4 linked regions of the Alligator mississippiensis genome follow. The protein of the gene in region 1 interacts with the protein of each later gene in a pairwise test. Links are inferred from orthologs where the notes say so. Each region holds a gene or a part of one and is shown in the gene's direction. Other genes may lie near its edges.

The links.
Region 2: the proteins of RBPMS (region 1) and SH3RF2 interact in a two-hybrid assay, tested with the Homo sapiens proteins (2 studies listed by BioGRID and IntAct). The two-hybrid records come from large-scale screens. The link is inferred for Alligator mississippiensis from reciprocal best matches to the Homo sapiens genes RBPMS and SH3RF2.
Region 3: the proteins of RBPMS (region 1) and TLE5 interact in binary tests that used the Homo sapiens proteins (3 or more experiments, as listed by UniProt). The two-hybrid records come from large-scale screens. The link is inferred for Alligator mississippiensis from reciprocal best matches to the Homo sapiens genes RBPMS and TLE5.
Region 4: the proteins of RBPMS (region 1) and C6H1orf94 interact in binary tests that used the Homo sapiens proteins (3 or more experiments, as listed by UniProt). The two-hybrid records come from large-scale screens. The link is inferred for Alligator mississippiensis from reciprocal best matches to the Homo sapiens genes RBPMS and C1orf94.

The regions. Positions count from the first base shown.
Region 1 is NC_081825.1:169,286,536-169,294,241, reverse strand, and holds the start of RBPMS (RNA-binding protein with multiple splicing), read left to right. Parts: upstream 1-4,684; 5' UTR 4,685-4,768; coding exon 4,769-4,831; intron 4,832-7,706.
Region 2 is NC_081832.1:64,689,559-64,696,668, reverse strand, and holds the start of SH3RF2 (E3 ubiquitin-protein ligase SH3RF2), read left to right. Parts: upstream 1-4,089; 5' UTR 4,090-4,443; exon of another isoform or gene 4,444-4,582; intron 4,583-5,731; 5' UTR 5,732-5,803; coding exon 5,804-6,229; intron 6,230-7,110. UniProt on the Homo sapiens protein: Has E3 ubiquitin-protein ligase activity. Acts as an anti-apoptotic regulator of the JNK pathway by ubiquitinating and promoting the degradation of SH3RF1, a scaffold protein that is required for pro-apoptotic JNK activation.
Region 3 is NC_081839.1:3,804,965-3,812,041, reverse strand, and holds the start of TLE5 (TLE family member 5), read left to right. Parts: upstream 1-4,059; 5' UTR 4,060-4,351; coding exon 4,352-4,378; intron 4,379-5,041; coding exon 5,042-5,139; intron 5,140-6,929; coding exon 6,930-6,993; intron 6,994-7,077. UniProt on the Homo sapiens protein: Transcriptional corepressor. Acts as a dominant repressor towards other family members. Inhibits NF-kappa-B-regulated gene expression. May be required for the initiation and maintenance of the differentiated state.
Region 4 is NC_081829.1:7,529,563-7,536,679, forward strand, and holds the start of C6H1orf94 (uncharacterized protein C1orf94 homolog), read left to right. Parts: upstream 1-4,095; 5' UTR 4,096-4,157; coding exon 4,158-4,402; intron 4,403-7,117.

The DNA.
Region 1 (7,706 bases):
CTATCACCTGCTCACAGGCATCAGCATAGGGGCTCAGAGTAATGAGTACTTGCATCTTTTCAAAGTTCTTTTGCTTTAGAAGCCCATGTCAACCCTCCATAACTGCTACACTGAGAAGAGCTGACCATCAAGGAAGCAAAAGGTGTTTGAAAATGGGAGGAAGAAGAACGATGAAATAACAAGGCCCTCCTCTACGCTCAGAAAAACAGTATTGACTTAAAAATCAGGAACAGTCTTGGACCATTCCACCTAGGTAACCAGTCTCTGAAATACTTCCATGGCCTCCATCAGCGTACTCCTCTGAGACAGGATGGTACTGTGAGCAGTTAGGCAGAAGGCAGGTGAAGGCAAAGAAAGATTTCTTCCCACTTACCCAGGGAAGCTTTGAAGCTGAAGGGAGAGTGGACCTGGGTCTTAGCATCTTCCTGAAGCCTGGATTTGGAGCTTGCCCCCTGGGTGTTGTTCACCTGCCTGAGCCTGGCCCTCCTTGTTCCAGAGAAGTTTGAGGTCCCTGGAAGGATGGACTAATGCAGGGCTGTCCAATTTGTGCCTATGGGCTGCATGGAACCTGAAAGAGCTTAACTTGGGGCTCCTGCTACCCTTACATCCTTGCCTCCCTACACTTCCCACCATGGGTTGGGGTGCCTCTCCTTTGGTGATCACTGCCTCCCTTCATTACCTGCTTCTGCTTCTGTTGTGATCACCGTCTTCCTCTTCCTCCTCTCCCTTCCTCTCCCCCAGCTCCCTGAAGGTAGTCAGGGTCTCCAGGCTAGGTCTTCTCCAGTTTCAGTTTCCTCCTGCCCAACTGGTGGGCAGTGTGGCCAATGGAAATGTGGCAATGGGATGGTGCAGCCCACAGCTGCTCAGAAATTGGACAGCCCTGGATTAATGTATTCATTTTAAAGGCTCTCCCTATAGGGCAGGGATGGACAGAATGGTGGATCCAGCCAGGAACCAAACTCCATTTCCCAGCAACCCCTACTCATGTTGCTGTGGCCCGTTTCCATGAGACCACAGTAGTGGCGGTGCCGTGATAGTATGGGCACAGGGCAGGGCACATTAGGCAGGGACCTGATCCACGGCCGGGGCTGAGATCTGGCAGTGGTGAAAACATGGTCCAGAGGATCCGCTGCTTGCACACCACAGCTCTGGACCACACAGAGCCAGATAGTGGCTCTGCCCCAACTTCAGACCACTCCGTCAGTGCCGTGAGATTCCAGCCCTGGAGCAGCTCCTCGTCCAGCTGCACTCTCTGCCAGTGCTGCTGGAGCCAGTCTTCATGGAAACCCTGGCCATGCACTGTCACAGCACTGCCACTGCTGGGGTCTCCATGGAAACCGGACACAGCAATGTGGGCAGGGGCTGCTGGGAAATGGAGTTTGCCATGGGCCAGATCCAGCCCATGGGCTAGACTTTGCCCACCCCTGCTATAGGGCCCGACCCACTTACTTTAGTGGAAGAAATTAGTTTTTACTGCTTTGGACTTCTGTCCAAGCTGCAGAAACAACAGTTGATGGGGAAGGTGCTGGGTTTTGTGTTGGCTCATGTGTAAGCAGCAGAGCGAGTGGCCAAGATCCAACTGCAAGGGCAGATGCTGTGACTCTGACCCCTTATCCAGACATGGAGCTATTGGCACTTTTGTTTCCGCAATGATTTTCAGAAGGGTAAGACATAGCCCTAGGTGCCTATCCTGCAGTTTAATTACGAGTTCTTTTCTGTAACCAACATGTCCCGATAGCTATCTCAGTACACTCTGCTTCTTCTGTCAAGCATATCTGCTTTTATCTTTGCTTTTATCTGTACTTCTTACTTCTCAGATTTAAAATCCCAAATGCTGAACTTTGTCCTACACATCTGTGGTGTTCCTGACTTTCAGCACTCGCCAGAGTAGGGAAATATACGGCAAAAAAAATTGTTTTAGGTTTGTCCGTAATGTAAGCAAATTGACTTGTGTTGCTTCAAGGTCAAAGTGTAACCATTCAAGCAATTTAATCTGGGGGCATTTTCTAGATCACTAGCTAGTGTTCAGAAATGGCAAAAGACATTAAAGCACAGCTTGCTTTGTTGTATGCAGACCTAGAATACTGTACTTGCTTTAGAGGGCTGGTTATTACTGGCCTGTTAATGAGCTAGGCATTAAGGAGTCCAGTGGAAATGAAACACTGGTGGTGAGATTTTCCATTCCTAGGGCTGGTGGTTAGCAGCAGAAGGACAGGTCACACATTGCTGCGTATCCTGATGTGAACTGAATTAGGTTCAGAAAAAGGTTTTGCCCTTGAAACAATCTCCTTGGTTCCTTTATTTATCTATTTGTTAATGGGAACAGCACAAAGGCATGGGAGGAAATCCATACCCACAATTTCGGGGATCATAGGGGTAGTTTGTTGCCAGTCTGGTATGCAGAGGTTAATTAGTGGGCGTGTTTACACAAGACGCTTACTGTGAGGTAGCCTAATAACACCGAGCAGTAGTATGCCGGTTAAAAACCATGCTAATGAGGTACATACTGCACAGTGTTATTAGGCTACTATGCAGTAACCATCACAAAAAAACCATGTGCCAGCACTACCGCACAGTAGCTGTAGTTACTGCACATTTAGTTAGTACTTCATTAAGGAAGTACTAAACTAAATGGTCAGTAACTACTGAGCATCGATGAATGTGTAGATGCTCCCAATGGCCAGTACTGAATAGGTGCTTTAGCTGGGAAAGACAAGTTCACAGGATAAAAGTTTCTTGATTTGAAAGCCTCCTTTTTGTCTCTCCTGCAGGGGGTGCTTGGCCACAAACAGCTGCTAGTGTGCTTTAGTCATCTCAGTCAAATCCAGTGGGTCTCTGTTGGCCTTGCCACTGTGCAAATGATACCAAAAAGTGCCAGAGAAGCCAGATCCCCAGGGATGAAAGGGAATGTGTCAGAGCAGGTACAGCCCCCCTCCATCTGGCATCCGAGCTCCTGCTGTTTAGCAGTGGAGCCATTTGTCATGTCTGTCTCTTCCTATTCTGATGGCAGCCAGCTCTGCAGGGTGACGTTGTCTCTGCTGGCTCACTCTTAATCTCCCAGAGTCTAGCCCAGTTCTACCTCACCCATTTCAGTGAAGCATCTCTTATGGCTCCAGAGAATTGGAAGGACTCCCTCTCTCACACTGCCAGTGGAGCAGTGGGGGACATCCTGGTCTCTCCTCTGTCCCACAGGCTGTGCAGCCACCTCTTCTCTGGGTTTGCTCCCTGCTCAGTGGGATGAGTAGACAGCAGGTGGAGCCTGCATGCAATGAGGGTACCTGTTGTATTGTGAAGCTGATGTGGGAATGAACCTGGATACAGGTAGAGAAAATGTCTTAACCCAGGAAGTAGACCTGTACAGAGGCTACGTCCTCTATACAGAATTGGCTGCAGTGGCAGAGCGCCAGAGAGTAACACAGGTGTTTCCACCTGGAATGCAGCTTTCTGAAGACAGCTGGCTTGGAGCCAGGTACTTGTACACCAATGTCTTGCTTGATATTTTTTTTCCTTTGAGAAAACTATATTAAAGCTAACATTTGATTTAAATTAATTCCCCCCTCAGTTGCTCCAGACACCCCCATCAAATCCTTTTGCAACTGCCTGCTGTGGGTAGCAATTCTGGGATGTTACCTTTTGTATAGCAGGCTTGGTTCAGCTTTGATTTTCTAGATCTGAAGCCCAGCAGGGCATACTGTGGCAGATCCTCTTAGTCTGGTCTCTTGTAACAAAGGCCAAAGCATGCCCCAGGAATCCTGCTGGAGCCCACGGTTTCTGTTTGGGCCAGAGTGCATGTGCCTGCAAGAGACACCCAAACTGGCCTGAAAGGTTTTCTATCTCAGGGAGCTCACCATGTTCCCAGGTGGGTTGTTCCCCAGGTAGGTTAGTCACCCCTGGCACCTTTCCACACTTTATTTCCAGCTTCCTTTCACCCACCTTCAGCTGCAAGCTGGTGGGTCACACCTCCTTGGCTCCAGTGCTTCACTCAAGGGAAAGCGTCATTTCAACACAGAAAGGAGAGAGGCTTGGGGCTGAAAGTGGGGCAGCAGGGCATGGGGGAGGGGCGGGATACTTTAGAAAAGGGACTTTTAAAAAATTAAAATATATATACATATACATACATACATACACATATATACATATCCTCTATCATAAGCTTTCCATCACACATCTTAAAGCCACATTAAGACACCCGCACTTCCCGTTACAATAAACGCACCCAATCCCCTGCGCACCCACCCTCCACCCTCACCTACCCCAATCGCAGTCCTTTAGTCCAGGCACCGATTTGAGGTTTATATTCTCAGTTCATTCACTGTCGCTGTCGCTTCCGCTGCTGCGGATCCTGTTGCAGCCCTCCGCGCTGCCTCCAGGTCCAGTTGCATCTCTGTCCTCTTGGCTCTCCCTGCCCGCTTCCCCTCCCGGTGCGGGGGTCTTTGAACAACCAGCGCCAGGTGTCGCTTTTCCACATGAAGTTGGCTGAAAGGGACGGGGCGGCCCGGGTATCCGTCCCTCCGCGCCGTGCCCGCCGCAAGCAGCGCGGGGGTCCGGCCCCCTCGGCGGACAGGCTTGCCCGCCCAGGCGGCGCGGCGGAGACGCCCCGGCTCCAAGCCCCGCCCCGCCCCAGCCCCTGCCTGGTGGGGGCCGCGGGGCGGCTGTGGACGCCGCCCCGACGGGGGGCCCCGTGCGTGCCGCCCCTTCCCGCCCCGCCCGGCCCGCGGGCTCATTTCAGCACCGCCCGCCGCAGCCCGGCTCCAGCCAGCGCCGGACCATGAGCAGCCTGCCCGCCGACAGGGACGGCGGCGCCGCCGACGCCAGCCCGCCCGAGGAGGAGGTACCTGCCGCGGGGCGTGGGCGCGGCCGGGGCTGGGGCGCCTTCTGGGCGCGGGGCAGGGCCGAGGAGCGGCCCTTGGCCCGGCTCAGCCCCGGGCAGCCTGGCCCCGCGGCCCTGCCGCGCCGCCACTTCGAAAGCGCCGCCCTTCCGCGGGGGCAGGGGAAGGCAGGACAGGAGAAGCCTCTCCTTGCCTTTAGCCCGTGACATTCTTATTCGGGGAACGTGGCATCCAGATTCGCCTACCTAATTTGTCGTTTGGTTTTCTTAAAATCCCGGTATTGGTATAGCACAGGCTGGGGACCCTGAAGAAGTCCTAAGGATCTCTCAGGCCCCCCTCGGCTCTGTTGCTGCTTGGACCCAGACCTGGGCTGGTGGGTTGGGAGAGAAGTGCAACTTCTCAGACCCGTTTGCGGTTCTTGAAAGGTGGCTTGTTTCCGGGGTCTGAAGACCACTCCGTTGCAGGCGAGGCCAGGAAATCTGTGTGCAGCACGATTCTGCTTAGCCAGTCAAATAACCAGTACCTCCCTTCTCCCCCATTTTTTGGTGATGTCCAGATACACAGTGCAGTGCCCTGGGCTTACAAGAGTCCTAGGAACTGGTATCGTTCTCATGTCCCGCACACTACTAGGTTTCCTGCACATGAATGTATGTGTCTGGCACCCCCTGTGCTGTGAGTGAGATTTCACAGCACAGGAAAAGCATATCAGTGTTATTAGTGTTTAGGCTGGAGGAACTGCCCTCTGGGGAGCAGCTGTGTCTTTGGGGGTCAGCTCAGGGCTGCATGTGGTGACATTGATCTCCCCCAACTCTGCAGGAAAGCTTGGAGGATTGAGGTTTTCTGGTTTGTCATTTCATCCGGGTGGGTGCTCACCAGTTTAAGGAAAAGCAATTGGGTCATTTTGGAACTGGCTCAGCAGCAATGCCTGTAGGCATGCCCATGAATGCCACATGGCCCCAGTGGCTGGAGGGGCACGGCAAGCTCCAGCAGGCAGCAGCAGCGTTGGCAGCAGTGGTAAGCGTGGAGATCCCACAGGCAACTGCGGTGCTGGTGGCAGTGATGGGGTGGTGGTGAGCATTGAGCAGCGGTCAGTGACCACCTGCAGACGTCCATGATCACTGCTGGTGGCGGCCAGTGGTGATCGTGGACCTCCCTCAGAGGCCGCCAGTGGTGTTGGTGGATTCATAGATTCACAGATGTTAGGGTCAGAAGGGACCTCAATAGATCATCAAGTCCAACCCCCTGCATAGGCAGGAAAGAGTGCTGGGTCTAGATGACCCCAGCTAGATACTCATCTAACCTCCTCTTGAAGACCCCCAGGGTAGGGGAGAGCACCACCTCCCTTGGGAGCCCGTTCCAGACCTTGGCCACTCAAACTGTGAAGAAGTTCTTCCTAATGTCCAGTCTAAATCTGCTCTCTGCTAGCTTGTGGCCATTGTTTCTTGTAACCCCTGGGGGCGCCTTGGTGAATAAATACTCACCAATTCCCTTCTGCGCCCCCATGATGAACTTATAGGCAGCCACAAGGACGCCTCTCAACCTTCTCTTGCGGAGGCTGAAAAGGTCCAGTTTCTCTAGTCTCTCCTCGTAGGGCTTGGTCTGCAGGCCCTTGACCATACGAGTTGCCCTTCTCTGGACCTTCTCCAGGTTATCCGCATCCTTCTTGAAGTGTGGCGCCCAGAATTGCACGCAGTACTCCAACTGCAGTCTGACCAGCGCCCTATAGAGGGGAAGTATCACCTCCCTGGACCTATTCGTCATGCATCTGCTGATGCACGATAAAGTGCCATTGGCTTTTCTGATGGCTTTGTGTCACTGCTGACTCATGTTCATCTTGGAGTCCACTAGGACTCCAAGATCCCTTTCCACCTCTGTGCCACCCAGCAGGTCATTCCCTAGGCTGTAGGTGTGCTGGACATTTTTCCTCCCTAGGTGCAGCACTTTGCATTTCTCCTTGTTGAACTGCATCCTGTTGTTTTCTGCCCACTTGTCCAACCTATCCAGGTCTGCCTGCAGCTGTTCCCTGCCCTCCGGCGTGTCCACTTCTCCCCATAGCTTTGTGTCATCTGCAAACTTGGACAGTGTACATTTCACTCCCTCGTCCAAGTCACTGATGAAGACATTAAAGAGTATCGGTCCAAGGACCGAGCCCTGGGGGACCCCACTGCCCACACCCTTCCAGGTCGAAACCGACCCATCCACCACGACTCTCTGGGTGCGACCCTCTAGCCAATTCGCCACCCACCGGACTGTGTAGTCATCCACGTCACAGCCTCTTAACTTGTTCACCAGTATGGGGTGGGATACCGTATCGAAGGCCTGGATGGAGGGGGGTGTCAAGCAGCGACCGCCCACAGGCACCACCAGCAGTGTCAGCGGTTGCCTTTTTGTAGGGGGTGCACCGCCACGCTCGGGGGGTGCACGTGCACCCGCATACGCATCACATGCCTATACACGTGGGCATGTCTATACACGTGTACACATGTCCACATGTGCTACTGGTGCATCTCCAGGGAAGGCACAGTCTTACCAAAGTACTTGAATATTCACATTTAGCATAATCTTATTATGGGGATTCACAAGTCTCTTCCTAGAGCAGTGGTCTCCAACCTTTTTATGGTGAAGATCACTTTTTGGCATCCCAGGATCTATTGCACCCCCCTGCCTACCCTGCCCTGCTCCTAGCTTCCATCAGTTCACTGGAAAATTCCAGGTCCAGGTCCTTTTCCTGGTGTGGCAGTCTGTACTAAATGCCTACCATCAAGTCCCCTTCTCCTCCATATCTTTACCCACAGGGTCTCAAGTCGCCCTTCTCCTGAACCAATCTGGGACTCCAAGGAAGCATACTGCTCCTTTTATATAGAGAGCACACCTTCT
Region 2 (7,110 bases), on another chromosome or scaffold:
TTCCCCACTTGCCACTCAAGTGGCAGGAGCCAGCCTGGCAGGGGCTGCTGCTGCAGGAGCTGGAGGGAGGATTAAACCCCTCTCCTCCCCCACTTCACCTCAGGGGGCTGGCCTGGGCTGGCATCTGGCCATGACCCTGGCCTCACTGCTCCAGCAGTAAGCAGGAAAAAGCCTGGCAGGGGCTGCCGCGCTCCTGCGAGGCAGACCCTCACTGGGGTCCACGCTGGTCTTGGCCTCAGGGTGCCCCCACCCATGCCACTAGAAGAGCAAGCAGAGAAGAGCCTGGCAGGGGCTGCTTCCCCGCTCCAGGCACACCCTGGCTGAGGACTGTACAGGTCAGAGTGGGGATTTAAACCCCTCTCCAATCATACTCAGTGGCCTGCCAAGGCCTGGCCATGACCCCCCCTCCACTAGCTTGAGCAGGGAGGGGGAAAAAGCCTGGAGGGCTTCTCTCCCAGCTTCCCTCCACCCTTTCTACCACTGCCAAAGGGAAGGGAGGGCTTGCTCTAGCCCCTAGCCTTAGCCACTGCATGCAGGTGGCTGCATTTCTGGAATCAAATGTGAATGTCTATTCACCTGCTTCTCGGTTCAGCCTATGCAGTTTAAACTAACTTGCAAAGACTGAATCGATTCAGGCTCAGGCTTTTTGAATGTCTGTACTTAGCCAAGAAGACAACTACAGCACCTCATCACACCACCTCAGACATTGAGCAATTCATTTGGGACTTTGCTCTTCCCATTAATAACAATAAATCTGACTCAGGTGGGAAGTGGAAGACAAATTCCTATGAAATTCCTATGAAGCTAGATGTGTTCATTCTGTCCTCTGTAATTGATTTCAGAACAGAATCTTTCACTAGCAGTGATACTTCTGGGGAAATGGTAATCTGTGCTATTATGTAGGCTAAATATGTGCTATGTTTAACATAAAACAAGCAGGCATGGTTATTTGAGTAAATGTGATATCTTTTATTAGACCAACTGAATAGATGGAAAAAATATTCTTACAAGCTTTCAGGCACAGGCGCCTGAAAGATATTACATTTACCCAAATAACCTTGTCTGCCTGTGTCCTTAGACCAGCACAGCCAGAACCAACACCCCTCAGATAAAAATGTGTGCTTAAATACCTGCCAAATCAGTTATGTACAATGGGCTAAGCATGGATTGGGATCCAGGAAAGTCTCATAACTTAATCTCGGTTCAGACACTGATTTGTTGTACGGCCTTATGCAAACTGATCGACATATCCCAAGCTCCCCAGCTATAAAATGGGAATAATACTTATACTCAAGGACCATGCACAGATTAATTAGTGCCTGGGAAAAAAAACCTTGCAGATTTAAAGGATTGTATAACTGCTAAATATTGTTATAGATATTACCATATTTTTTCAACTATAAGACGTACTATTATTTAAGACACACTTCAACTGTCAGACTCAATTTAAAGAAAAAAATAAAACTTCTATTAAGTCACTTCTATAATGCATATTAGAGCTCTCTACTTTTTCTTTTTCACTCAAACTTAAGACAGGTATTTTTAGAGGAAATATTTCCTGTTAAAGTGTCTTATAGTCAAAGGAATATATTTTATCTTAGGGTGGCACTTAAGAGACTCCAATCAAGATCAAGGTTTCATTGTGCTAGACAATCCACACATACAAGACAGATGAAGAATGTCAATCCCTCTGCCTCCACCCCATCTTCTTCATTTTGTAGATGGGGAACTGCCTAACAAAAAGATTGCTATGATTACTCCAAGTCCAAGTATGAACTGACATTCCCATGTGATTACAATAAGTGTAAATGTTTATAACTAAAAGTTGAAAGCAGAGAGACAGAAAAGTTGAAAGGCTATTTCTCTCAAATCCTCAAAGAACAATTGCTATGTTATAAAATCCAGCCCTGCAAGATGATGTGTAGGATTGGATGCTAGATTCAGGTCCTCTTCTAAGGTTATAGAAACATGTAGTCTAATATTTTGAACTAAATGAGAAAGATTTTCAAAAGAAGCATCACCCAGGATGGAATTTCAAAAGAAGCATCACCCAGCACCTCACCCAGGAGGACTAGATTCAGTACAGTGCTATTTTGCCAGTATTTTTATCCAAAGCAGATTAAGGATTAAACATGGTTTAAGTAAAATTATCATAATGGGCAAAATATGGAAAACTTTTTCAATTAATTTGTATTTTTGCTGGAAAAATTTGGCTATAAAGGGTTCAACCAGCTGTGTTCAGCTGTTCTCAAAATTAAGTCCCTGTTTTATTGCTGCTTATAGAGGGGATGAGGAGAAATATGGCTAAGAGTAAAGACCTACCAGAAGCACTGAATGAAACTGGAGCAAATACAAATCGCTAAATTAAATTCAAATCCCTTTCTCCTCCCTGGAGTACTTGTACAGTAATAAAACATGCTCTTTTGCGAGATGGCAGAAATTTGTGAGAAAAATCTGCTTGACTCATCCCTACATCTAGTTATCTCCCTTGCTACAAAGCCAACGCATGAGAATAGATGAGCAAAGGCAAGGATCTGGAAAGGAGGTCAACTGATAAAACAGGAGCTGCTGATATCAACAACAGAAATTAATAGGCACCATGAATTTCCTTCCATTGCCTGCCTGTCCAATTTCTAGACAGGGCATTTTGTTATAACTTGGAGCTAGCACTTAATTAGAGAACAATCCTTATTAGACAATGCTTTGTTGAACAGAAGTGCGAAGATGTTTGTTTCAGTGCTAGATGCTGTTATTTTAAGGTGTGATACTGAAGTGCACTGAGTGCCCCGGGGGCAGACAAGAGTTTTGAGCTTCTGAGATGAAGGGTCAGCAACTTGCAGAGCTGTAAATCCTGCTGAGCTGGAAAACTTCAAAAAATCCCCCATGCCTATTGGGCCCAGTTCTCCTCCTACTGAAGTTGCTAATTTAATGGGAGCAGGAGCAGGCTCCCTGCTGTCTGTGGCATTTATAAGTCCAAGTATTACTAGAAAAAAAGAACTGTAGATGAAATAGTTTCATTGAAGTAGCTGTGTCTGGGATACATTTATGGGGACTTACAAGGGCAGGACTTTTTTCCTCCGGATCACTTCTAGAAACAGCTAGCGCACAGTTTGCTACCCCAGATCCCAAACTCCCTGGACCAGATTCTCTACTCTGACCACTCTCCCCAAGGTACCTCAGTCTTAACTGGAGCCTCTCCATGCTACTGAAGAACAGCAAATAAATAAATAATGGAGAGCATTTGGATAGAGTTGGGTCTAAAATAAGACTATCCCTTCAAATGAGTATCATTGCAAAGTTGAAAACAAGCCGCCTAGATTTAGTTGGAAGTGAATTAACCACCCCCTGCCAATGATTACTTTACTTCCCTGGAATTTCTATCTACATAGTAATGACAGAATGAAGTACAGTACATTATTTTGCATTCATTGAAGGCTAAAATGCCTTTACCAATGATTAATAACTTGACTCCTTCAAAAATAATATCTGCCACACTGTGATAAGTCTCAATAATTAGTTTAATAATTGGTTAGCATTTAACCTACTGTAAATGTAATAGCCAAGCTAAATTAAATATGCATTTAAGAGCTTTAAAAATATGCCTTTTGGTATATACCAACTAGTATGTTTATATACCCAGGCCTTGTTCTATTTTGAAACTATCAAATAGTGTGTTAAAGGCTGTGAAAACAGGCCTTTACTGCCCTGCTTCCTAACAAGGCTGTCACAATGTTATCTTTGCTATGAATTAAACATTTAGAAAGGAGTAAGTACGCTTTTTTGTGAGCCTGTGTGGAACACAACCTGTGGAACAGACTGACATGAATGACATGAGGAGCTGGAGGCAAAGAGCTTTGTAAGTTTTAATAAAAGGCACATGAACAAAAATACCATGTGCCCTTACACCGTTTGTATGTAAATGATACAATACTACAAAACAAAGTAGATCATCAAATCTGATCAGACAGTTGCTTCCCACCTCTTAAGAAAGTATCACATGTGCACATGCCATTGGAGGGTCACCAGCCTCCAGTATCGGTCAGTGCTGGATGCAGATAACTAGTTATATAGACCGTTGGTCTGTTCCAGTATAATAAATCCAATGCTTTTACAATGCTGAGTTAAATACATTTTCAGAAATAGAAAGCAACACGAAGCCAGATTTTTTTTCTTGGTTTTGTGTTGCTTAGTTGAGAGTTCCTAAGAATAAAGCTTTAAAAGTGGTTCCACCCTTTTCTCAGAAACAAGCTCAGCTGTATAGAGAAAGACTCAGAGCCAGGATCTTATCTCACTTCTGCAGTGCACGTCCAGAATACCTCCACTGAGGTCAGATCCTCCAACCCAGCGTCTGCCTCCTAACCAGGACCAATAAGCAGGAGCTTCTTTCTGAAACTTTCTGGAGAGGATCCATCAGGCAGTGATGGAGTTAACAGGGCTGTGCAAGTAAGTTGATCTGTAAGCCAGTAACATAGATAGATAGTTGTTAAAGTTTTCAATAGGGCTGCATTTTGGGGAGGGAGTGAGCTGTCATCCCTTCAGCTGTGCAGAATTGATCTTGCCTACGAAGGGTCACAAATACAAGGTTAGTGGTACTCAAGAATTAACGATCTCTAGATTTTGCTTAACAAATGAAGGCTCAGTTAAACTGATTATAACCTTCTCTCATTAGTGGGGAGAGGGTCCAAAGTATATCGACCAGGATTACTAGGCAAAAGTACAGTACAAAATCTCTGTGTCCATGTGGAACAAATAAGCCTCAGTGGGTTTTCAGAAGGAAGGTTTCAGGGTTATCAACATGTATTTCAACATCAGAAGAAAAAGGATTATTGGTAAATAGGATCTTGTTGGGATTATACACACACACATACACACAGAGCCTCTGAATGTGTTAAGGAACTATACATGCTTCCACAAGCCATGACCTGAATCCAAAATTCATACATGTTTCAGTTCAAATGAACAGGCAGCTGAAAAAGGAGCTAAACAGGTTGAGTGACTTCACATTGTGGGAGGAATAATGATTACTTTTGGGGCTGTTTTGAATAAGCGAGGCAGGTGAGGATGCGACTGCAGAGCTCCTTAACTAGGTATAAGAATAATACTTGTATTTGAATGGCTTTATAGAATTGCTGCTAAAAACTAGTAGAAACCAAGCTTAATTAGGAAGGATCTTAAAAATGAAACAGCATGTGGGTGTTGTATGATGTGGGTGTATATGCGTGTGAGTGTGTGTGTGTTTAGCTAAACAGTAATAGAGACAGTGTGTGTGAATAAGGTTCAATGATGTTTACCTCATCTCCTAACCAGGTGGAAATCTTTTATTATTGTATTCATAACTAACATGGTAAGCAGGAGACTGCGTAGCATTAAAGTGTTAAAGTGTTCAGATGTTACACGCAAGAAGGAACATTCCTGTCCTGTTTCAGTCAGTCAATGATGCTTTGATTTACAGTCATGAATTAATATGGTTAACTCATTGTAACCTACAGTTATTTATCTGCCCTAGCGAACAGAGCCCGGATCTGTTCTGCAACCGATTTGAGCCTGAATACTGTTCTTCTCGCTAGTACTGAATCATAAATGACTCACTTCAGACTTGGATGCGAGAGCAAAGTATACATTTGCAAATTGGCTCGTGAGGCATTGCTTTGCAATGTAGGTGGGATACATTACATACTGTAGCAGTGAAGTTCTGCTCTTTTTTTTTCCCCCTCCCTTTTGCTTCATGCAGGATGGTTTTCTGATCCTAGGATTACAGCTTCGTTTTTGAGGGTATGAAAAGGAGCCACCTATGCTCAAGTGAATGTATCATGTGGACTTTTCTGGCCTGGCTTACAACTCAAGTTCTCCACTGAAGATGGATGATTTAGCTTTACTTGACCTGTTGGAGTGTCCTGTGTGCTTTGAAAAGCTAGATGTCACAGCCAAGGTGCTACCATGCCAGCACACCTTCTGCAAGCCTTGTCTGCAGAGAATACTGAAATCCCAGAAGGAGCTGAGATGCCCAGAATGCAGAACTCTCGTCTCCTGCAGTATTGAAGAGTTACCGTCCAACTTGCTCCTAATTCGCTTACTGGATGGTGTCAGATGTGGACAAAATGTTATGAGATTTGGTTCACTCCAAAGATCTGGGGTCCTGTCCTCTCCTGCCTCCATCAGGAGAGTCCCAAGAGGTTTACAACTTAATCAATACAGGCTGGCACCAACTCCCAGGATCCATATGGAAGGGGTAAGCAGGGTTCATGTTTCTTAGTATCTTCATAGGCAAAGAGAGTTGCAACATTATGTGCCAAGAGCTGTGAAACCCTTCATGTTAGTAACACTGAAAAAAATACTTGAGAGAGAGTGAGATTATTTTCACTTGATAAAGCTGTCTGCTTTCTCCCTGTGATATTTGGATATTTTGAGTTGATCTCAGCAGTAACTACATTCAATCTTAAGCTTATCCAAAAATAGCTTGCCTTTCTGAGTGCAAAGATTTCAAGAAGGCAATTTCAGGAATTTTCTGGTGCTACCTGACAGCAGTCAGGCCAGAAATATTGTGTGCTCCAACTTTCAGGTGATATTTTGCTGTGTCTATCACCTGTCCAAAGTCAGGGTTGCATTAAGTCAAGAATGCAGAATCACAGAAGTTAGACCTTCAAAAGCCTTCATATTTCATGTCTCTCCTGCCTGAGTTCTAGTGATAGAAAATGCTATACAAGAGCAAGGCAGTTAAATAAGGTTATTTTTTCCTAGGACAGTTTTTCCCTTAATGCTTTGTCCAGTCTGATTTTAAAGTCCCACATTGTTTCTGCCATTTCCCATAACAGTACAATTGTTTTTACTATATAATGAACATTAGGTATGATATAATATATAGTTAATATCCGTGCTAAACAAATGATACAATATAGTCTTATTATATGACAGTTATGCATAATATAATTAAATACAAGTTGTATTTTACCTTCTAAAGAAGGGTGGGTTCATTTTACCTTCTAAAGAAGGGTGGGTTCATCTGCATTTGCAGTAAAGATTGATATGAAGTTTAATTTTGCCTGCACTAGACCTCCTGTTCCTGATGTGCCATTTCTTCCATCCTGAGGCACTTGTTGTATAATGTTAGCC
Region 3 (7,077 bases), on another chromosome or scaffold:
GGCTGTGCCCGAGAAGACACTCCAGGACAAGGCACAGTCGGTGCCACAAGACCTCAGCCCTCTAGATTGTGCTCTTTAGAAATAAATATGGCAACGGCCTGGTCCCTTCACTGCAGCCCTGGGAGCTTTGCTGGAATCAGAAAAGGCACTGGTTTTCTGAGACAATGCATCAAGCGTCTGAAATGGGTAAGAGCTCTTCCCCCCCTCCACACACACACCCATGCACACACTCTTTGTATTGTGCTTGTTATTCTTGGCCTGCGTCCCTGAGTCACAGGAGGGACGCAAAGAACCTGATCCTGCTGACGTGAAGGCACATGCTTAGTTCTGCATGCCTGAGGACATGCTAGGAAATCGGTGGCACAACTCCCCTTGCAAAGGTGGAACCACAGTATGCCTCTGGATTGGAATTTCCCGGTGTAGTTTGGATCTAGGATCTTGGCACAGTTTCGATCTAGGATCTTGGCGTAGCTTGGACCTAGGGTCTTGGCACAGTTTGGTCCTAGGGTCTTGGTGCAGTTTGGACCTAAGGTCCTGGCGCAGTTTGAATCTAGGGTCTTGGCGCAGTTTGGATCTAGGGTCTTGGTGCAGCTTGGACCTAAGGTCCTGGCGCAGTTTGAATCTAGGGTCTTGGCATAGCTTGGACCTAGGATCTTGGTGCAGTTTGGATCTAGGGTCTTGGTGTAGCTTGGACCTAAGGTCCTGGCACAGTTTGAATCTAGGGCCTTGGCCTGGTCCCGGCAGAGGGGCAGAGACCAAGTGTTAGCAAAAGCAGCAGCCAGCGCTCATCCTGTGCCCATCTCTCACCTGTGTAACACATCCCGAGCTACCTGGGGTGCCGTGGTTTCTTGCTGTGCTGTATTTCAAGGCCACTCACAACTTCCATTCAATGGTGGGGACAGAATTCGGCACTCAAAATACCCAACTGTACTTTTACCCTGTATCATCTACTGCACTCAACATCTATTTTTAATGCCAGGCCAGGTTTAGTTTCTCCTTCATTTCCCAGCGGTACCAGGGCTCTGCCTAGAACACGAATTCTCTGGAGGATTCAGGTAGATGCAGGAGCCGGTCCAACACCCTCCAAACTGTCGGAGAACCCCTCTTGCTTCCAGGGCAGTAAATAGGTGGTGGGGACTGGTCAGGAAGGTAGGTGGGGACTCAGCTTCGAAGTGAGCTGGAACCCCTTGATCTCCAGTCAAAGGCTCGGCCGTGAAGCTCTGCCTTCATCCAGGGAACGTTTCCATGCAAGCCACTGCCTTTGTCGACGAATCTTCAAGGCAAGCGTGGGTGTTGGCTTTCATTCCACTGTTTCCAACCTGAGTGAATGGCTGTGTCCTTGCCCTGGTACAGCTGCGTACCTTCCCCACGTGGGCTCCGGATGGGTTCTGTTACGTGAAACAAGCCTTGGTAATTTCTCTGTTACCACGGGGCGGTCATTCGTCTCTCTGAATCCGCCGTCAGCGATTACGCTGCATTCAGCTTGACCCTGACATTCCCGTTCTGTTCATCTCCGGCCAGCAACCTGAGCCAAAGGCCTCATGGAAGACGTGCGTCTCGGCCCCGTCTGCCCACGGATTCAGGGAGTCTCTCCTGCTCGTGCCAAGCACAACGCCCAGTTGTTATTGTGCGGGTGACACTGCAACACTCACAGAGGCATGTGGGGGGGTCAAAAGATGATGGTGTCTGGCTGTGGACTCTCCATCCTTGGAGGTTTTTAAGACCCAGCTAGACAAAGCCTTGACTGGGATGATGTAGTTGGGGCTGGTCCTGCTTGGAGCAGGGGGTTAGGCTAGATGTGACCTCCTGAGCTCCCTTCTCACCCTCATTTTTTATGATGCTGCATGTCCTGCAAGCTTTGCCGCCGCCTGGCCCTGCCTGTCTGTCTGTAGGTACTCAGGTTGCAAATATTTTTATTTTTGCAAAAATCTAGTTGGTTTTATCACATCTACCATGAGTTTTGATTCCTTCTGCCTGTCTGTCTGCATTTTTAACTGGGCATCCTTCGGTTGTTTCCCCACCTCCAGCCCTGCAAACAGTCAGCCTTTTGCAAACCCTAACCCAGCCCTCACTTCTGCCCATGCCTCTATTCCATATATCACAAGGATCTGGCCTCTCATTAGTATATGCCAATTGCTTTAATACCCAACATCAGGATCAGCAGTCTCATCTGCCACCGGATGTCTTGGAAAGAAATAAGGTGCATTTCCCAGTTGACTTCCTGGCCTGGATCGCAGCCTGGTAGGCATCCCGCAGCTTGGCGACATGGGGCGATGGCGCTAGGCGCTGCCCTCGAGCCCTCTCCAGTCACATACAAGCGCAGGGTGCTTCACCCTCAGGCCGGTCGGTCGTAGCTCTGGATGGTTGGGAAGTGCTACGGCTCCCTACTCCCAATCCCTCCTGGGTTCAGCTTGAAGGATTGAGGACTCCTGCCCCTCCGAGATACCAGGATTCTCCGCGCCAAGGGCACCGTCACTGGACTGTTTTTGGGCACCGATCTGAGACCACGCATTGAGCTTCACCAGGCGCCACGTGACCTTTTGCTGCCTTCCCCAGGCCCGCTGCTTCCCCGGCCTTCTCGGACACAGAACAGCGTCCTTGAGTCAAAGTCAGGGGAAGTGAAACCCCCGCCCAAACGGCACGTGCTGCTCCTGCGGCGGACGGCATGAGAAAGCCAGCCTGGCAACACTGCCTAATGGGGGAGGATGGCTCTGAGCTGCCGCGGGGACCCAGCTAGCAGCGGGTAGAGTTTAAGCCAAAGACTCCCTTTCCACCCAGCACCACGTGCTGCAGAAGCGACACCCCTTGTTGGACAAGACCAGTCTTTACTCCCTGCCCCAGTCGCCTCCTCTGGGTCCAGGCTACAGAAGGTGACAGCCCTGCCACCACTCTTCATCTCCTATTATGGCCCATGGGAAGCGGCCAGGATCCAAGCCCTCGGACCCACGTCCGATCCCTGCTCTAGCCTTTCACCCAGAGACAAGGTGCCCTCATAGCTCCCCCGATCTTGTCTTCCCCGCTCTAGGCCAAGCCGCACGGCAGGACCACATGGCACTGCTGCCAGCTAGCAGGGCCCCCACGCGGGCCAGATACCGGCGGGCCACACACGGGCAAGGAGGCCCTCGAGGGCAAGCTCCAGCGATGGGGGCAAGAGATGCCCGACGGTACCCAGTAAATAGGGGGCTGCTCTACCCCTTGCAGTGTGCACAGAGGAGGGGGCCGTGCGGTCCCCCTGCCTGCCCTGTGGCCCGTGTCATGTCAGGGCTGCTGACGGGCTTGTCTGGGGTGGTTTGGAGAGGGCTGATCCCTGACCCTCCCTACCCTCGAGGAATCTCTCTAGGATTGAGGAGTCTCTTTAGGATTGAGGAGACTCCCTTGGACGGAAGAGTCTCCTTGGCATGGAGGAATCTCGCTAGGACGGAGGAGTTTCTTTAGGATGGAGGAGTCTCCCTAGGATCCAGAAGTCTCTTTAGGACCTAGGAGTGTCTGTAGGATCAAGGAGTCTCCGTAGGATCCAGAAGTCTCTTTAGGACCTAGGAGTGTCTGTAGGATCAAGGAGTCTCCCTAGGATCCAGAAGTCTCTTTAGGATCTAGGAGACTCGGTAGGATTGAGGAATCTCCTTAGGACCTAGGAGTCTCTTTAGGATCGAGGAATCTCCCTAGGATCCAGGAGCGTCTTTAGGATCCAGGAGTCTTGTTAGGATCTACAAGACTTCTTAGGACTGAGGAGTCTCCCTAGGAGCCTCTTTAGGATCTGGGAATCTCCCTAGGATTGAGAAGTCTCTTTAGGATCAAGGTGTCTCTTTAGGATTGAGGAGTCTCCTTAGGATCGAGGAAACTCCTTAGGATCTAGGAGACTCCCCAGGACGGAGGAGTCTCCTTGGCATGGAGGAGTCTCTTTAGGATGGACGAGCCTCCCTAGGATCCAGGAGTGTCTTTAGGATCAAGGAGTCTCGTTAGGATCTAGGAGACTGCCTAGGACGGCGGCGCGGTGCGGGGCGGCCGTGGGGCAGGCGCATCCCCCGCGCCAGGCGCTGGCCCGGAGGAGGCCCCAGGGCCGAGCCGAGCCGAGCAGGGCCAGGGCCGGGCCCGGCAGGCGGTGCTGATCAGCCGCAGGACAGGAGCCCGCAGCCGCCATTAGACAATAGGAGCGGCCGGGAGCGGGAGCGGCAGCGGGAGCAGGGCCGGGGCCGGGGCCGAGCGCGGGGCCGCGGCTGCGCCGGGGGAAGCGGCCGGGTGCGCCGCTGCGGAGCGGAGCGGGGCGGGACAAAGGCGCGGCGGAGCCGGCTGCAGCTGCCTGGTCCCGGCCCACGGAGCCGCGCGGGGACCCGGATCGCGGCCGCAGCCTGACATGATGTTTCCACAAAGCCGCCACTCGGTACCGGGGGGCACGGATCGGGGGGGTGCACGGATTGCGGGGTGCATGCGGGTTGGAGGGGGGGTGCATGGGGCGGGGAGGGGGGTGCGTGGAGCAGGCCGGCCGGCCGGCCCCGCTGCAAAGCCTGGCCGGGCCCGGGATCGCGGCGGGGCCGGGCGCGGGTTGGGGGGGGGGGGGGGTTGCACCCCGGCTGCCCCGCTCCCCGCGCCCCCTCCCCGGCCGGGCAGGAGCGGTGTTGCCCTAGCCCCCCTCTTCCTCCTCCTCCTCGCCCCGGCTCTGCCTGGCGTTCCTCGCTGGGGGAAACGCTGTATTTCCGGGCTGGGAGGCCAGGGCCGGGCCTGGGGAACGGGTGCAGGCGGCGCCGGCACAGCGCGGCCCGGTGCCTCAGTTTCCCCACCCGTCGTGGGGGGTGCGGCGGTCTGGGGAGGCCGCCGCTGACCTTGACTGTGTCCCCTCGCTCCCCACCTGCAGCCGGGGGGGTCGATGCCAGCACGTCTCGCAGCCGGAGCCCCCTCGGGTGCTGCCGAAGGGGCCGTTCGGCAGCTGGGGGTGGGGGGGCACCCGCTTGCAAACCCCCACCTGCACCCGGGGCAGGCGAGGGCGCAGGGATCCAGGCTGCGAGGCTCTGCCCCCCCACCCAGCGCTTTCTCCTTGTCGTTCAAGGGCTCTTCTCACCTGCCACAGCAGCTGAAGTTCACGACGTCCGACTCCTGCGACCGGATCAAGGATGAGTTCCAGCTCCTGCAGGCGCAGTATCACAGGTACGGCAGCCGAGGCCGGCCTGGCGGGCACTGCGGTCGGGTGGTGTTCGCGACAGGGTCTGCCAGGCCTAGCCCCCCCCTACCCCGGGGAGCTGGCTGCATGTTGCCTCGGGGAGGGCCCCCCTCTCTTCTTGCCATGACTGGTGCTCTCAGATGCCGGAGGAAGGGGCTTGGGTTCGGGAGCCGGCGGCCTGTCTTTCGCTAGCTTTAGCGTCAGAGCAGGGCTCGGGGTGCCCCCCTCGGAGGTGTTGCCATGCAAAGAGTGTCAGGTAGAGAAACTGTTGGACAGACTCGGCAGGAATAAAAGCAGGATCCCTGCAATGTCTCCCCGCTTGGCTCTGCCTGCGGTCTCCGGGGTATTGATCCCATCGGTGGGGACGGTTCTGCACGCACAGGTAATCCCTGAGCAAGAGAGTGGGCAACATGCGCTGCCCCACCCCAGCTTGCATTTGAGGGCCTGAGAGCAGGGATTGCCAGGGCTCAAGAGATTCCCCAGCTGGAATGAGAAGCAATGAGCCCAAGTTAAAAGATATCCCAGGTGACCCTGTAGCTAACTGGAGATGAAAGCATTAAATCTCCCCTTCGCTGGGCCAGGACGGGGAGATTAGACCAGCCCCTTGTGAATCTCTGCTTAGTTTCACATGCCTTTCTCAGGGCTGCAGTGTTTTGGCTGCAGACGCTGGGAGGAAATGCTCCTCTCCAAACCCTTCCAGAGCCATCACTATCTGCGTCTTTTTTTGGGGTATTGAAATCTAAAACGCCGGGCTTCAATTTGCCAGGCGAGAGTACCCTTAATTATTAGGCCTGGCTTATTTCATGCCCTCCGATACGACCTCCCATAGCTGCCCATCCGTCGCCGACGTTCCCCGGGTCCTCCGTGTCTCGGCCTGCTTCCTGCTGGATGCCAGGAGCGCGGGATCCTGCCCGCAGGGCCCAGCGGCTGAGGTGTGTGGCGGCCCGAGGTCGCTCATCGGGAAGGCCGACTTTCCAGCGTGCCTCTGCTCTGAAGCCGTGCCAGCTGCGGGGCCCGGGAGCGCTAGCAACATATCCGCAGTCACCGTCTTTCAGCAGGAGACATTTGCTGGGTTTAATCCGCTGGAAGAGAAACGGGCTGTGTGCGAGCAAAGCTGGTTCTCGCTGGAAATCCAACCCCCCCCCAGCACATGATGGCTGAGCTCCCGACTGCCAAAAATCACCGGGTTTATTACATTTAAATAGAGAAAAGTAGTATCTTCTGTTCTCTTTTTTTTAAGGATGTTTGAGTTCCTGTTGCTTTCCCACAGAGCACCACAAAACCTGTTGGGAGAGGTGGCCTTGCAGCTGTGCCGTAGTCCTCATTACGTGTCTGACTTATTAATAGCACAAGCATTTCTCAAATGTTGCAGTTGGACCCGTGTCATGGCCCTGTGACCCCTGACTCTACTTGGGTCCCAGCTGTGGGATCAGACCCAAGCCTTTCTCATAGACAAGAGGTCAAACTCTTCCTCCTTCCTGCCTTTTCTGTTCCAGAAGATGGAAGATTGGCTCTTGGGTAGCTTTTTGGAAGACCTCGTGGCTGGGTGGTCTGGTGTCATTAGCATCGTCTTAATTCTTCTATCTAGGAGCATCGGTTATGGACCGCGGGGCTAGGTGCTGTACAAAAAAGCCCCAAATTGTTTAGTCTTGCAATAGTATCTAGGGGTCAAGCCGTCGTGCTAGGTGCTGTACGAGCCCGCAGGAAACGGCTGGCGACGAGGGGAGTTGGTAGCAGGCCTGGCTCTCGGTGCTCCCGTCTCTCTCTGCTCTTTCAGCTTGAAGCTGGAATGCGATAAGCTGGCCAGCGAGAAATCGGAGATGCAGCGTCACTACGTCATGGTAAGGCCCTGCCCCGGTGGCGGGGGGCAACGGCGGGCCCCGTGCGATGGGATGTGGGGCAGGCTGGCGAAGCAGGATGCTGGC
Region 4 (7,117 bases), on another chromosome or scaffold:
AGAGGGGGCTGGATAGTGCCAGGTGCATTGCTGGTCCAGAAGGAGCTGCCATCCCTTCTACCCTCTGGTCTGGAGTGGGGGGGTGTTAATGAACTAGTCACCCATCCTCCCCCCACGTTGGTGCTTTGCATTTGCTGCAGTTTCTTGCTGCAAAACCCCCTTCTTCAGACTTGTTCCGGTTGCCTTGAATGAGCTCATCTGACAGCTAAAAAACAATTTATACAGAGGGCTTGCAAATGTCTCCCTCCACCCCCGAATCAATCCTCTCGCTTGCTCTCACTCGCTCACTTTCTGTGTCCCCTCTGCTTTTCAATCCCTCCACTGCCTACATTGTGAACTGATGCCAAGAGCCAAGGCAACCAGGGCTGTTACATGAAAGAGTTGCTTTATATCGGTTTAAACTGCAGTGTCCTATTCAAATAGATCTGATTGTTCAAAGGCATAGATCCAAATATAAAAGGAGCAGAGAGCAGGGTACTATACTGCTCAGCTCCATACATCGCTTTTCTCTTATACAGCTAGTTCCCCTCAAAAGGGAGGAAAGAAAAAAAATCCCTGAAATTGCATTCAGAGGAAGATGTGTTTGGCTTGCTGCATGCAGCAGACTACAGGGCGAGCCAAAGACAACCGACACCAGATCAAGAGCAATATGCAGGCATAATAAAGCCATTGAGAAGACATAATCCCACTTTATTCCAGGTTAGTAACGTTCATATCTCTTTCAAATCAGTCTTTAAGGCTTCCCCCCTGACTTGCTGGGTTTAGGGTCTCAGCCTCTCAAAAGACTGGCATGCCTTTGCTAAATGGGCAAGGAGTGAGGAATTCAGCAGTTGCAATTCCTGACAGTTTGCAGCAGAGATTTTTCTTCCTGCCCTCTTTGGGAGGCAGAGGTTCTGGTTAACCGTCTGCTCTTAACCTCCACTACTCAGGTACTTTCTCCGCTTGCTAAATTATCTCAGAAAGGCAAATCCTGTGTCTAATCAAAGCACCCACTAGGAGCAGAGAATATTTGCTCTGCACTGCCACCCACCGTCAGAACCAGGGCTCCAACTGCCGGAGTCTGACTTGCAAAGACATGCAACACATTATCCCAAGAAAGACACTCAGCACCCTTCTTTTGTCCCCTTTGTCATGCGCTTTCCTCCCCCAGCCTCAGCGACAGGGCAGAGGTACTCCTTTATTTCTTTCCCTGTAAACGTCCATCATCCAAGTTGCAATGCTTCTGAATGTCTTCCGTCCATGGTCCTGAGAGCAATGCAGAATATTAATCCCGATGTGTTATTCCCTGAGTGTCTCACCCTCCTTTTGACAAGACGAGGGGAAAGGACTTGTCCAAGGTCACAGATAAATTGGTGCCAAAACCCGGGTCATCGTCCAGGAGGGGTGACACCAGGCTCTTTTACTCCACTGCCTACACAGCACTTGTTTTTCTATGCTGTCAGTGCAGCTCGGAAGGAGGAATCCTAGAATTCACTTGGGCTGGCGAGTATTACAGCATTTCTCGCGATTAAAAGTGCTACAATTAACAAGTCTGCATAGGGACATATGTGTTGGTAAGTGCTGAGATGCATTTTATTTATCCTTTGTTAACCAAACACTGGATAAAAACTGTTTTAATCTGGCCATAACTAGGAGGCAACAGCCACATATATGAATAATCTCTCTATTAACACAGAAGCTGCAGTCATTATTGTTTAGTGTGTGTGTGTGTGTGTGTATATATATATATATAGAGAGAGAGAGAGAGAGAGAGCATACGAGTCCACTTTTTATATGGATCTGAGGGGAGGTTCTGCACAAGTCGGGAGTTTAAAGAAAGATGCAATAGTTCTGGTAGTAAAAAAAAATAGAAGAGCACAATTGTTCACCTGAATGTGTACATTTTTTTTTTTAATTTAAATTTAGTTTCAAGGGCCAAATCAGTTCTGAATTCAATTGGCCAAAGCCCAATAGTCAAGTGCCAAATTTTGACTGAGCAGAGCGCCATCATTCAAGTTTGTATGGCTCTACCACTAGGCAAGTATCTGCCAGACCCATCAGTCTGGGGCTTCAGATATTCCCCAACCCCATGGCAGGTATCCTGCATTGAAGCCCCAAGGCCCTGGGGTTTGGACAATGCCCCCTGGTCTTGCTTGCTCCTAGCCAAAGGCCGACGAGAGAGCCACGAGGAAAGCGAGAACACAGTCCCCCATTTCCACAACGTTGTGCAGTTGAGTTTCCCACATTTGAGGAAGCTCGCAGGGGTGAGCCTGCCCGGAGTACAAGGGACAGGCCTCATTTGATAAATACACGTGATCGGCTGGCAGCATCATGCACCTTCCCATGCAAGCTTTAGCCTGGCTTGCCTGCTGATTCTGTACAGTCCGGCATTGTGGGCACAGCTGTCCGAGGAGTTGGGCGAGTGTTTTGGGGGCTTTTTTATTTTAAGAATGTAAATAGCGGTTCTAAAATTTGGTTTGCACTATTTCTTACCTTCCATTCAGATTGCCCTCCCCTTACCGAGTGGAAATGGGATAAGTTTTAACTATAGCCAGCACGCCTGCCCCCAAATGAGCCCATGATAATGTCATGATGCTTTGTCCTTTGCAGCAGAAATGGCACTCCAAAGCTTCTGCTCCAGAAATGCAGACTCGCACTATGTAGGATGAATAGTCATCTTCACTGGAGCACCAGAATTCAGGATTTTCTCTTCTGTTGTGCTCCAGGCACCAAAGGGTGACATCACTCAAACATCCGAGCTAGTAAAGGGCAAAAATGGCTAGTGCATGAAGGCAGCATATTACTAAAATAGAAAGTGATGTTCCAGTATCTTGTGTTTGTAAATGGCTAGTGCCTGGTGCTGCATAGGAAAAGTGTTAAAAAGAAACAAAGCAAATATTCATCAATGCTGACAAGCTCCAAAATGTCATAGCTCAGACCCATCCATGAGAACCAAAGGACACTCTATTGGTCACACCATAATAAACGCTTGAGTTCCCAGCAACATCTTCCCTGAATTTCGAGGCAAGTGGAAGGGGAAATAGATGCCCCACGTTCCCCCGCCATACCATTAGCCGCATCCACGGAGGGGAAGTTGTAGAAAGACGCACAGTTCTGCAAGGAGCCAGTCTATCTTGTGGAAATGCATCAACCTAAACAGCAGGAGCCATGTGCAGTAAACCCATTTTAACTTGTATACATCTCCAGCTCCGCTGGAAACGCCAAGAAAAAAAAAGAATCGGAGCTAGTTCTTTTGCACAGTCCAGGACAGTGGGAGAGATGCTCCACTCCTGGCTCCAAGCATGCAAAAGACTCAATGAAGACAAGGGAAAGGATGCCTTGGACCGGTTTGTAGCGATGGTAAGAGAAAATGGCAGGAACAGCTAGTGATATTATGCTAGCACTTGAGTCCTGGTCCCAGACAAATCAGAAGAATCCAAAAAAATCGCCAAAACAGACAAACAGCTGGATGGGGAAGAGGAGCAGTAAAGAGGGTTACATTGGCTGTCTAAGCTCAAATAGCAACCAAGCCAAGCGCAGAGCGTAGGTTGGACTTCATGCCAAAGGGCTCTCCACTGGACCCCACTGTTTGCTAGGACCTGGCGCAATCCAGGGCTTAGAGGTTAGTGAGGAGCACCAGGGAGACGCACTGCTCCCCCCACAGAGATCAAGGCACTACAGGACATCCATACCTCCTGCCTTTGTCTCTTCTAGCATCCCCTGCATGCCCACCCCACCTCTTTGCTTCAGCCTATACTGCCGAGGATAAGAAGGGGACCCAACATAGGCATCTGGGAAGAGACACAAATGTCAAGGGCCACAGGGATGAAGGAGCCCCCTGGGCACCAGGATACAATATGAAATTAATTCAACCTAAGGGAGGAATCAGGGCTGTTTTAAGATGCGGGCTGGCCGAATCTGCAAGACGCCTCGGCGGCTGCTGCTCTCAGTCTTCCTAAAAAGACCTGGCGTTCCCTTTTACGTGTGGTCGGGTGGGTGCTGCTGGGACCTCGACAGCTGCTTCTGGTTGTTATCCTTCATATCCGTTGCCGGGCCCGGGGGTTCTGCGGTTACCGAGCTACCGCGGCTTGTTGCTATTCATTCCGTTCCGTACCCGCAGGAAACCTTTCTTTGAAAAAAAATTGGCCTTCGGTCTCTGGGTGCAAAGAGACGAAGAGATGCCCACAGGTGAAAACGGGCCCCAGGGTCCGACAGTAAGCCCCAAAGGGCCGTTCCCTCTGGGGCCGTTCCCACGGCACATCTGGATCCACCACAACACTCCTCAGGACAGCTTGGACAAAGCTTGCCATGACATCTGGAAGAGGGTTCAAGGTCTCTCCGAAGATCTCCAGCCTACATCACCACTGTTCCTCCAGCCTACCTGCCCCCCAGAGCCGCCAGAGACCCTCAGGGCCTCCCAAGAGTGAGTGATTTCAAATTGCCACCCCCTCTCCAATTCAAATGGCTTCTCCCCCCTCTTATGCTTTGTGGCCCACAGCAGGTTGGGATCCGGCATAAAAATACATGAAATGTTCTTTCAACATGGTTGAGAAGAGAAATTGGGGGGTAGGGGGTGAGGTGTGGGTGGGAGGGGAAGAGGATTGAGAAGGGGTTTATTTTCACAGCCCAAATCACAGAAGCTGAAGAGGATCCTTTTTCTCTATGCAAAATGACGTCCTGTGATGTCTAGCCACATCTAATTCTGAAGCACAGTAAGCAGCTGCTGCATTCAGTTCCCCACAGCAGCTTTAAAAAAAAAAAAATCAAAATATTTACAGGAAGAAGCAAAAGAAGCATTCAAAAGAGCAGAACCGAAAATTAAAGTGTTATAAGGAAACTACTGTAAACAGCTGATCTTTACAAAGAAAAGCTGGATTTGGCAGAAAAAAAATTCTCTGCCAAGTCTCGCTCCAGAGGGTAAGTTGTGGGGAGGAAAGAAGGTACACTCTTTAAATTAAAAAGGACAATATTTATAGTACATTCCTGCAGCAGGAAAAAAAAAAATTGTCAAATTAACAAACCCAGCAATTAATTAGCTCATGTTGGCAACTTCCCAGGTCTTAAACAAAAACACAACATACCAGTAACAGCTGTACAGACCTGGTCCATCTTAATCTGATGCAGTAAATAATTGTTAATACCAGAATTCATGATGCCTCCCAAAGAGGCAAGTTGGTACCACCATCCCCATTTTACAGATAGGGAAACTGAGGAATAAAAGGAAAGTATTTGGATCAATGGCACACAGGGAAGTAGTGGTATATCCAGGACTCGAAGCCAAGAGTCCCAACTTCCGCATCGTTTCCTTCTCTATCCAAAATGCAGTATGGACTTTGTAGACGGTATCGCACATTGAGTCACCGTTCTCCTTTAGCATCTGCTGAAGTCAATTGAGTCACACCAGCACATAGATGACATGACAGAACTGGGCCCAGACATCTTTATGGACATGTGAAACATGTACATCTCAATAATGCACTCCTGGAAGATGCTCCATTAGTATGGGCAGTACAAGACCCTACATGCAATTATGAAATATTCATCTGAATTTTAATGAAAAACCCCATTTTTAAGAAATGAAATGATTTTTAGAAGAAACATACTTTTGAGTTTTATAATTGATGTAGCAGGTACAGCAAGTGCAGCCAGCTTTCGTAATTCCTTGCCCACGCGCTACGCAGTTGCACCGAATTTGTCACACTTAGGGAGGAGACAGGAGGATACCGCAATACTCTTCCTTTTGCATTTGCAATCTCGGGCTGTCCAGAGGGTACAGCGTATGATGGGAGATGCCTAGGAACAGGGGTGACCCATCACATTCATTTTCTATCCATTAAAAAAAAAAAGAAAGAAAGAAAAGAAAAGTGGGGTCCAGTAAATGGGGTACCAGCCTTGGTCCCATAGGATTTGTATTCTACTCATACTTCTATCACTGACTTGTTGGGCAACGTTCAGCAAGTCATTTCTGTTCTTGTCTATCTGACTGTAAGCTCTTTGGGGCAGGGCTGGTCTTGTTCTATGTCTGTACAGCTCCTAGCATACAGAAGCTTCATTACAAACAGCCAACTGGTCTTTCAAGTACCTAATTTACTCGAATATGATCCCCCCAATAATAATTTTCCAGGTATAGAAACTAATTATTGAAGATGCGACTTGAATTTGTCCACCTCCTACTGCAAGAGCAGGGAAAATAAGTGTGTGTGTGTGTGTGTCTATAAAGTGCCCCCTTGCCCTCTGCCCCCCAAATTCTTCCCCCTGAAACCCCTTACCATCAGACACTGCTCTCTCTAAACACATGCAAAAGTGAGAGGCAAATCTGAAAATGCTAACCTTGATATCAATTTGCATATAGGCAGATGACTATAGATTCTCATACCCATAGACTTAGTTCATCCAGAATATATGCATTTGGCCTGTCTGGAAACTGCTGCAAGTTTTAGCACAGATACTCCATAAACACATTTAAGCAGCACTTTTGTACCTATTTAGATATTTTTATAAATTTCTAACTCCAGATCAAATTAGCCAAATCAGTTTCAAATCATAAATCGATGGAGCAGAGCTCAATTGTTCCAAAAACCATACTGACTGAGCAGGCAGAACTCAATTGTACTAAACACCATGTATGATGCTACAGCCGGTGAGCGTCCTCCATCCCAGGCTCTCACCCTAGGACTTCAGATACTTCCAGATCCACTGGTAGGCATCCTATGTATGGGCCCAAGCCCAGCGACTTGGGGGTTCAGATGCCCCCACTTGATCTTAGCTCACAAGAGACTAGAAGCCTCTTTAGATATACTACAAATTATGCATGATATCAGCCAAAAGGCTCATGATTTGCCACATAGTTCATTGGACTGGGCCCTAGTAGAGTCAACAGTGTTTCAAGCCAAGGTGACCACACAGCTTGGCACGGCTTAGTACGTGTGTGTACTCCAAGATACACCCGCATAAAGGATCCTCCAAAGCCTATATGCAGATGAGGTGCAGGGGAACCTAATCCAGCTCCACCTCCTGGAGGGTGGGGGCACACTAATCATATGCAACAGGCTGGGGGGCGGGGTGGGGGGGGTGACAGAGGGATTCTGGGTGAAGTGTTCGGGGTCCTATTTGGTGAGGTCTGCCAGACATTTAAGGC